Oryzias latipes: one gene and its partner. The protein of the gene in region 1 purifies or fractionates together with the protein of each later gene. This does not show direct contact. Links are inferred from orthologs where the notes say so. Each region holds a gene or a part of one and is shown in the gene's direction. Other genes may lie near its edges.

What was found. Proteins that work in one complex are often made in the same cells at the same time.
Region 2: the proteins of twistnb (region 1) and protein POLR1D purify together in Homo sapiens (affinity purification with mass spectrometry; 3 studies listed by BioGRID and IntAct, counting the BioPlex papers as one, with this or other methods). This does not show direct contact. The link is inferred for Oryzias latipes from reciprocal best matches to the Homo sapiens genes POLR1F and POLR1D.

The regions. Positions count from the first base shown.
Region 1 is NC_019869.2:9,793,536-9,797,948, forward strand, and holds the start of twistnb (DNA-directed RNA polymerase I subunit RPA43), read left to right. Parts: upstream 1-1,547; 5' UTR 1,548-1,588; coding exon 1,589-1,884; intron 1,885-4,413. UniProt on the Homo sapiens protein: Component of RNA polymerase I (Pol I), a DNA-dependent RNA polymerase which synthesizes ribosomal RNA precursors using the four ribonucleoside triphosphates as substrates.
Region 2 is NC_019878.2:17,475,438-17,479,574, reverse strand, and holds the start of protein POLR1D, read left to right. Parts: upstream 1-1,320; 5' UTR 1,321-1,378; exon of another isoform or gene 1,379-1,439; 5' UTR 1,440-1,459; coding exon 1,460-1,485; intron 1,486-1,934; coding exon 1,935-2,009; intron 2,010-3,394; coding exon 3,395-3,734; 3' UTR 3,735-4,137.

The DNA.
Region 1 (4,413 bases):
CTTGGAAAGATTTCTTAAAATAAGGCATGTTGTCCTGAATTAGTTATATTGCTTTGATAACTGGAAATATTGTGTCTTTAAAAAAGCGTGTGTTGCTTTTAAAACCCTTTCACTTCTGTAAAGTAGGTACATTGATGGGTAAACCTACAGGACATGCTACTTCTCCCCCTAAAAAATCCTACTTTAAGAGCTGTAGACTAGAATCAAACATTCTAAGATAAAGTTGTCAAGATTAAAAGAACATTATGAGTCAAAAAATAGTTTTTTTAGCGATATTACTTAAAACAAAACATTTTCTACAAAATGTTCAGGATATGTTGTCTTAAAACCAGTCATTTTACCACACGGAAAAGTTACTTGTGAAGTAGTTTTGTCTCATGTCAAGTACAAAAATATATTTTTGTACTAGTTTTTGTTTTTGCAGTGTAGATTTGCTTCTGTCTTTATGTTTCTGAAAGTACCGCATGTTTAATATAAGACAGAGTGTTCATCAGCTGCTCAAATTCACACTTTAGGTCACCCTAATGATCTTAATGTGACACTTCCACTGAGAAGAGGATCCAGAATCAATGAGAACCTTTACCAGGCTTCCATTGCATAACATTCCACAGATTACATAACAAAGGACAGAACACTATGGGAGGGCATGACCATTGGAGTCTTCCTATAGAAATAAATAACACAATATTCTCCTATATTTATACAACTGTCTTGTCATTGCCACTATTGCAGGAAGAGAAGACATCAAGATTAAGAGGGTGAAGCCCCAGAACTACAGTACAAAGTATTAGATCTGCCGAGAAGCGGCAGATCTGCAGTCTCTGCTGTCTCTGGAGTGACCAGAGACAGCAGAGGCCTTTTACTTTGAAAATGTTAAAACAGGTTAAAACAGGTCTAATCTAAAAGAAATGGTTTCATAAAACAATATATTTGAAAACAACACATCTAGAATAAAAATAAAGAGAGAAAAATGTGAATGGTTAGTATTTTGCCCAGTGCTCTCCACTCATCCCAGCTGACAGTCCTTAAATGGCCATGCAGTCCTGCACTCAGGACCACTATCCATGCAGAAAGGAAAGAGATCCATGAGCAGATTTAAAAGAACACACAATCATGCAAAATAAACAAATAGAAGTATTTTTTTATAAAGAAAAAAACACTGGTGTCTGGGCTACAGTGGTGCTAATAAAGATCTTTGGAAGCAACTTGCATGCTCGACCTCGGGAAGGGTGAAGCATGTTCATTCACTCTGTGTCTCCAAATGGCGGTGTACCTCCAGGTAATGCGCCTCCTCCCAGCACTCAGTTACCTGCCTCTAAACATCTTTCATTCTGTTTGGGAATAGTCCCACTTTGGCTTTGATGATTCCAGTCCACATTAATGAAACAAGAATGAAACATTTATTTATAAAAATAAAAAATAAAAATAAAAGACTACGTTTCTGCTCATGCTTCATATTTCATGCTGTAGTTTCACCGCCTCACCAGCAGAGGGCAACATACGCATAAATGTTAAACTTCGGTTGGTGGCAGGTCGATCCTCTTTCCGGAAACTACGACTTGTTTGTTTTCCGGTCTTCTCACGCAGCATGGAGAACCTGATCCACGCCGAACCAAAACACGTGAAAATGTCGGCTGAACCTCTTGCCGTCTCTGGCTCGATTCCGGTGGATCCAGCGTCCGCAGCTGCAGAAAAAGCTGCGGGCGGTGCTCCGTGTTTGGTCCCGTCTTACTCCGCCGCCGTGGAGCTGCTGTCAGCGCCGTACTCCTGCCTGGTGATGAACCCCCGCAGGAGGCACGTCGTCCTCCCGCCGGTCTACCTCCACAAGAAGAGAAGCGGAATCCAGGAGGAGCTGGAAGCGGAGCTCCTGAAGTTCTCCCAGAGGTACCCCGACATCCTTTAGTGGAGTCTGTGAAGATGAAGCGCGTTAAAAAAAAAGAGACTTTATCCATCCATCCAAATGAACTACAACACAATAAATATCTGTCTGTGTCCGGATCAATTTTAAGATGATTCATTAAGACGCACTCCAATGAAAATTCTTTTTCAAACATGTTCTTGTCACATTTTTCTCACGTTGGAGGACATATCTTAAGGAAAATTGGTATTAAAACGGCTTTTTTAAGTATTTTTTAATCTAATTGTTGTGAATCATCAGGAGCAGACGAAAAAACATGATGCTGAAGTTGGCTTCCGATTCGCGAGGGCACTAAAGAAACATTCAATGCATTTCTCGGGCTAAGATCACCTAAAACCGGTCCCTGTTAAAACACCGCTGGACCTGGACCCCTCAAACCTGGATTAAATTATACATTAGATAGTTAAGAATGCATTAAACGCAGGTTCTGATTTATTAAACCTTCTTCCGATTTGTAAAAATGTGAAAGAATGATTTGTATCGCATTTTACGCACAGAGTCCACCTCAGACCAGGTCCTGTTCAGAAACCGCTGTGTGAAAAGTGCAGTGGAATGTTTCTTTAGTGCTCCCGCGAATCAGAAGCTGTGAATCAGAAGCCAACTTCAGCATTGTCGAAAAAATGCTGTTGAAAAAAGCTTGTTATTTTTATTATCATTTTGGCTGAAAAGGACATTTACATTTCATGTATTCATTCCTAGAGTACCTTCCACCCCCAGCCTCGTAGACCCAAAGTGCTGTACACAGGGAAGGTAGAATACATCATATAAGTATAAAAACAGAGATTGAAACCAACATAACAAAAAGGCAGCTAGGCAGAGACAGCGGCGTGATGGTGGAGGAACAGTTTGGCTTTAAAGCTCTCCAAGAGTGTAACCTCTCTGTTAGCCGGTGGATGTTGAGTCAACGCACAATCCCTTTAGAACTTACATGTGGTTCTCACAATAGTAACACACACTGGTCAGCAGAGCACAAGAACTCGAGGGGAGAATATTTTAAAAGCAGACTAGGTAAGAAGATGCCGTACCTGCTAATGACAAAAACAAAAACAGGAATTTTCTTTTTCTTTTTAAAAAAAAAAACGATTGCATGGGCAGTCAGTTTAAGGAGACCAGGATTGGGGTAATGCGCTCAGATTTCTTTGTACCACGAATAAATCTGCCGGCTGCATTTTGAACTAGCTGCAGCCTCGCTATTGCGGGACACCGCATATAAGGAGCTGCAATAATTTAGCCTTGACTACACAGAAGATGCTACACAATTACAAAATCTAATTTGGATAAAAAAACCATAATCCTCGCCAAACGCTGCAGCTGAAAAAAGCAGGACCTGGTTACAGCCTTTATTTGGAGGTCCACTTTCAAGGTAGCATCGAGTTTCACGCCTAGGTTATAGACCACAGACTGTTGAAACGGGGCGAGCGAGAGGAGATGAAGACCGCGATCCTTTCGACCACGACGGGAAAACATAATTACTGCAGTTTTTGTTTCATTAAGCCCAAAGAAGTTAGCCGACATCCACTTGGCCGTCCAGTTGTTGCCTGAACAGTCGGGACATTTGCGCATAGCAACAAAGATTTGGCAGTCGTCTGCATAAAGATGGAAATCCACTTTATGCTTACTAACCAGCAGTAGTCACGTGAACATAGGTACCGTCTTACTCCGCCGCCGTGGAGCTGCTGTCAGCGCCAACCTCACCCTCATCCGACTTTTATGGTGCAATTGATAAATTTAAAAAAAAGTGTTTTATTTTTAAATATGATTATAAATGGGAATCCACCATTTGAACAACTTTATTAGCAGCATCCTCGTAATATTAGACCGCTGGTTGTTGAATGTTATGTATTATTATTATTGTCTGTGGGAACAACTGTCACAATAAATCCTTTTTTTTCTGTTAAATGCTGCTGTTTTTTTATTTTGAAGTCAAAGGATCGTCTTCTGTTTCCTCACTGGCTCTTCTCTGCAAAAAGAAACTTTCCAAATGTGTTTGTTTTTTGCTAACTGTGCTAGCTTCGGGGCTGCAGTTTGCGCACGCTTTAAGAAAGTATCGATGGATTTTCAACACGCAACCAAGCGACTTGAAGAATGAGTTGGATGCGGTGAAGAATCCAGTAGATTTTTAAAATAAAACTTCACCCAGAACTAAATAAAACAGAAATAATGGAGGTCCTGTTTTTTTCTCTGCGGCCCGGTACCATTTGTCCAACAAACTGGTACCGGTCTACCGCCCAGGGGTTGGGGATGCCTTTAACATACCTTAAGTTTACCTTAAAGAATCCGGTATTTAAGAGATACCTGAGAGCCCTGAATGTTGTCCAGAGAACCTGGAGAGTGCCATCCTCCAAGAGCGTTGGGCACTGGGTTAAGATGGTGGAGTATGATCCCCTCTGGGTTCTTTGGGATGGACAGTTTTAGGTACTAGGACCACACAGAACATTTTGTCTAGGTATTTACCTTCTTGTTTAGTTTATTCCAGTCAGCTGATGTTTGTTCGT
Region 2 (4,137 bases), on another chromosome or scaffold:
GAAGCCCCTGAAATCTCCTCATCAATAAATAACGCCTTCCGGTTTTAACAGTAAATGCATTTTTGAGTCAGGAAGCAGTTGAAAAACAATCTATTTTAGACAAAAGCCACGCTGGGCTGATTTTTTTTAATAAGTGAAGGCTTGCAGATGCGTGTGACACGTTCTTAATCCTTCTTGTCTGAGTTCAAAGCTGTACTTGCTCATCTTTTTATATTAGGATACCGGTCCTGCACTTGCTCTCATTTTCCCACAGATTACTATCTAATCTTGGGAGAACTAGGCAGCGGCATGCAGGAGTTTCCTTTTTAGAAGATCAAAAGACTCTATGGCACTCATTTAAAAACTCAGGTGTATCAGGCACCCAGGTATCAGATATTTTACAAAAACCTCATTTGGATGTCTTTCATCCTACAAATACTAAACACACAAAGACAGCACGAGAACTGATGTGAACATTATTATATATTTATTTTTTGCATGCATTAGTAATAATACAAAAACTGAGCCTGCTGTAAATTACATTTTCAATTATTATTGTCAATTTTCTGCATTTACCTTAATAACGCCCCATCTGCAAAGCAATTACTAAAATATATATATATATATATTTTTGATACCATCAATGTTTAGATAAGCCCTCCCCCCATCTCTCAAACCCCCCGTTCACTGTCTGAGTCCAACCCCCCCTAGGAGCGAAAAGGGAGGACAGAAGAGGCGACAATGGTAATAACAGAAAAAGCCAGCATCACACACACTGACGCCGCTTACAGTGAAAGGATGCAGATGTGATGTTACCTCTTCAGGCTGCTCCTCTGCGCCGCGCCCGGGCCTCGAAGAGGGGCGGGGGTGGCGGGACAATTAGCAGCTGCGGGACCTCAGTCACGCAGTCGCCGCAACGGACGGCCCGTTCCGCAAACCTGCACGAAAACGCCCCCGTCACTTTGGTGCCTGGTCCCGCCCACTGCTGTCCGTCAAAGAGACTGGGCGGAGTTTGCCGCTGTCAATCCACAAAAAAAAGAAAAAAAAAGTAGAGGTGGCTTCAATGTCGCCTGCCCAAAAACGTCCATTCAGCGGGAATTAAAATCTTTTAATATGTTTATGATTCCGATATGTTAGAGGTAATAACATAAACGGATAAAGCTTCGGGATCATACAGGGCATGGAATATTTTTTGTTTTTCAATGTGACAATTACAACTATTATTTTAGTAACTAAATTACTTTAGAATAAATGTTTGGGTTCTAAAAACGGCGTGAATTTTACAAAAATGCATTATTTATTTAAAAAAAAATGTTATGGTTTAACAATATAAAACAATGAAATGATCAGGCATCTTTTGGTCATAAAATCAGGTCCTCGAAAGAAGGACCTCGCAGAGGTAAATAAATCCCCTAACATGAGCCTGTAGAAATTTCCTGAAATAATTCTGCGTTTTAAAGTCTTTAGGTGGTCAGGCATAATGGCTGAAGATAATGAATTGGAAAAGTAAGTATTTTTTATTTTTAGATTATCATCGATTAACTTGTTTACGTTTGCTCGGTTAAACTAATACATCGGGGGAATGGTGTCTGGTACCACCAGATTAGGCTAGCATGTTTGCATAATGCATTTCTGTAGCTATGGGGTTATTTTGGTTAGGGGACGGAGTGTATCTTGTGTAGCAGTCAACACACTCTGCCTTTTGGCAATCAACAGCTGTTCTCACTACGTGCTATAAGATCGGCTGAATCAGAGAGAGCCCCCTGCGAGACTAATGCCTCAGCTGGTCGGGTTAAACGGGGACACCGCTGATGTCCCAATTACTTATGATTCACTTCCTCCGCGTCTCCTATTTTCTTCCTCGCTCGCACATAATTATATTAGTCTCCCCTTGAGCTTTTATGTCATCTTGGTCTTCTGTTGTTATCCGCATTTTTCTACGTCTTTTCCTCCAGACGGGCTATAGAGGAACTCCTCAAGGAGACAGACAGAGCCAGGGTGAGAGCTGAGACCATGGGCCCTGCAGGATGGTGAGTTATGGTTCTGAAATGTCATCCCTGACAGCCTCCACATAAAACGCCATGTAAAATCTTACTTCATAGGTTTAGCTGTTTTTTTTGGAGGCTTCTATTATTGTTGTATTTGTGTTTAACTAGTTTTCTATTATAGATAATTCGTCAGGTTCCCAAAGACACTTGTCTCTCTTGGCATCTAAAAGCACACACATATAGACTAAATTTATTATTAATATTTATTTATTGATTGTGTGTCTGTAGTGATTCTATGTCTAAAAAAAACGGTATAACCCTGTGAACTTTCCTGGAATTGAAAATATGCTTTCAGACATTTTTATTTTCTGGGCTGACGCTGATTTATCAAAACTATTTTTTTCTTCTTGATTTATTTCAGATGTGAGAGGTCAAAGCTAATGTTCTGAAGCTGTCATTCACTCGTCATTTAATGCAGTTACAAAAGTCACTTGAAAGGAGGGGACAAAAGGCAAATAAAATTTTTTTTTAAAAGACTGTCCATAATTATAATGTTACCTAACTTAAACTTTTCACATTTTTTTGTCTATCCCAAACATTTACATGACAACGTTCTCTGAAGTCTGCAAGGCTTGTCTTTTGTGTAACAATTACAGTTTGAGTTTTTTCACACTGTGTCGCATTTACAATCATAGATTTATCTTGGTAACCAATATTTGTTGACTGATCTGTATTAATTAGATCGACAAATGTTTGCAAGTATATTGTTGCACAATGATTTCTTTTGCATGAAATTATTTATTGACCTATTCACTTTTTGTGTATTTGATCTGTTTGATGGTTAATGGGTTTCTCTTTGGATCTCCCTTCATTGAGTCTCTTGAAATGATAAGATTTATTTGTGTATGTTTAACAGATCTTAAACAAATTTAGAAGGACTTTATTCTTTTTTGTGGGTTTCTAATGAAGAGGTTTATGTTATTTTGTTTTTTAGGTCTGGTCCAAAAAAACTACAGAATATTAAAAAAAAGTTGGTTTATGTAATTTCCAGAAAACTTGCACCTCTTATCACACTATTTAGTAGTAAATTAAAGAATGACCCAGTATTTTTAAGTGTTAGAAAACATGGAAAAACAGCACAATACCATAATGTTTTATTTTCATGTGGGAACCTAACAAAAAGTGAAATTATACAAAAAGCAGTAAGGTGAGCATCTAACTCCCAACTTAAAGCAAAGTCATGCCCTTAATAGTTGTCCTATAATTTAAATTGTACTCTGGAGACAATTTGTCCTTTAATGGAAACGACTATACATCTGTCAGATATACTGATCAGATAACTGTCGCTTTTCACATTAGACTTTAGATTAAAAAAAAAACCTTAATTCTGAATTTTTAAGTGGTTGTGTTGTCTTCTTCTCTGTCAGGTTGAAATGTCCCCTGCAGAGCACCAACAAACGCTTTCTCCTCAACACTCTGCGCTCTACCGGCCTGCAGCGGCGAAACGATGAGCAGAGAACCGCAGACTCCAAAACAAGAGACCGCCTGACCCACAAGTCCCGTGACAGACGGTGTGACCGCAGCAGAACACCTCCGACAGACCACAGGAGTAATGGACGCCACAAAGACCATAAACATCACACCCGTTCAAACCGAGATAAGGAACTGGACAAAGATAAGAACAAATCTGACAGACACGGGGACAACAGCAGAGACAGGAAGCATGCCGATGGACCAAACGGAGACAGAAAAAGAAGTTCTTCATGAATGAACTTGCTGTGTTTTAAAGGTAGCCTTGATGCTCTACTGAAAAATTAATTGGCTGGAGGAGTATGGCTGACTTGAAATAGTTCTGTAGAGCCCTCTCACCCTCACAGAGACCCAGACAGACTAGAAGGACCTCTGCTGATCACAACGAATTGTACAGTGACAGAATATACAATTTGTATTACAGCTTTTGAATGAATGAATGAAGAGAGTAAAAGGAAATAAATATTTTGTGTTTTCAGGCATGAATAATTGATCCTCTTACAGTTCTAACATGAATCTTTATGCACCAGAACGAAACATCAAATATACTTTTTAGGATATAATCTAAAAATCATATCAAAGCTAATATTTGTTTTATCATGTTCCACTTTGTAAAGGTGGCTGTAGCTCCATTATAATG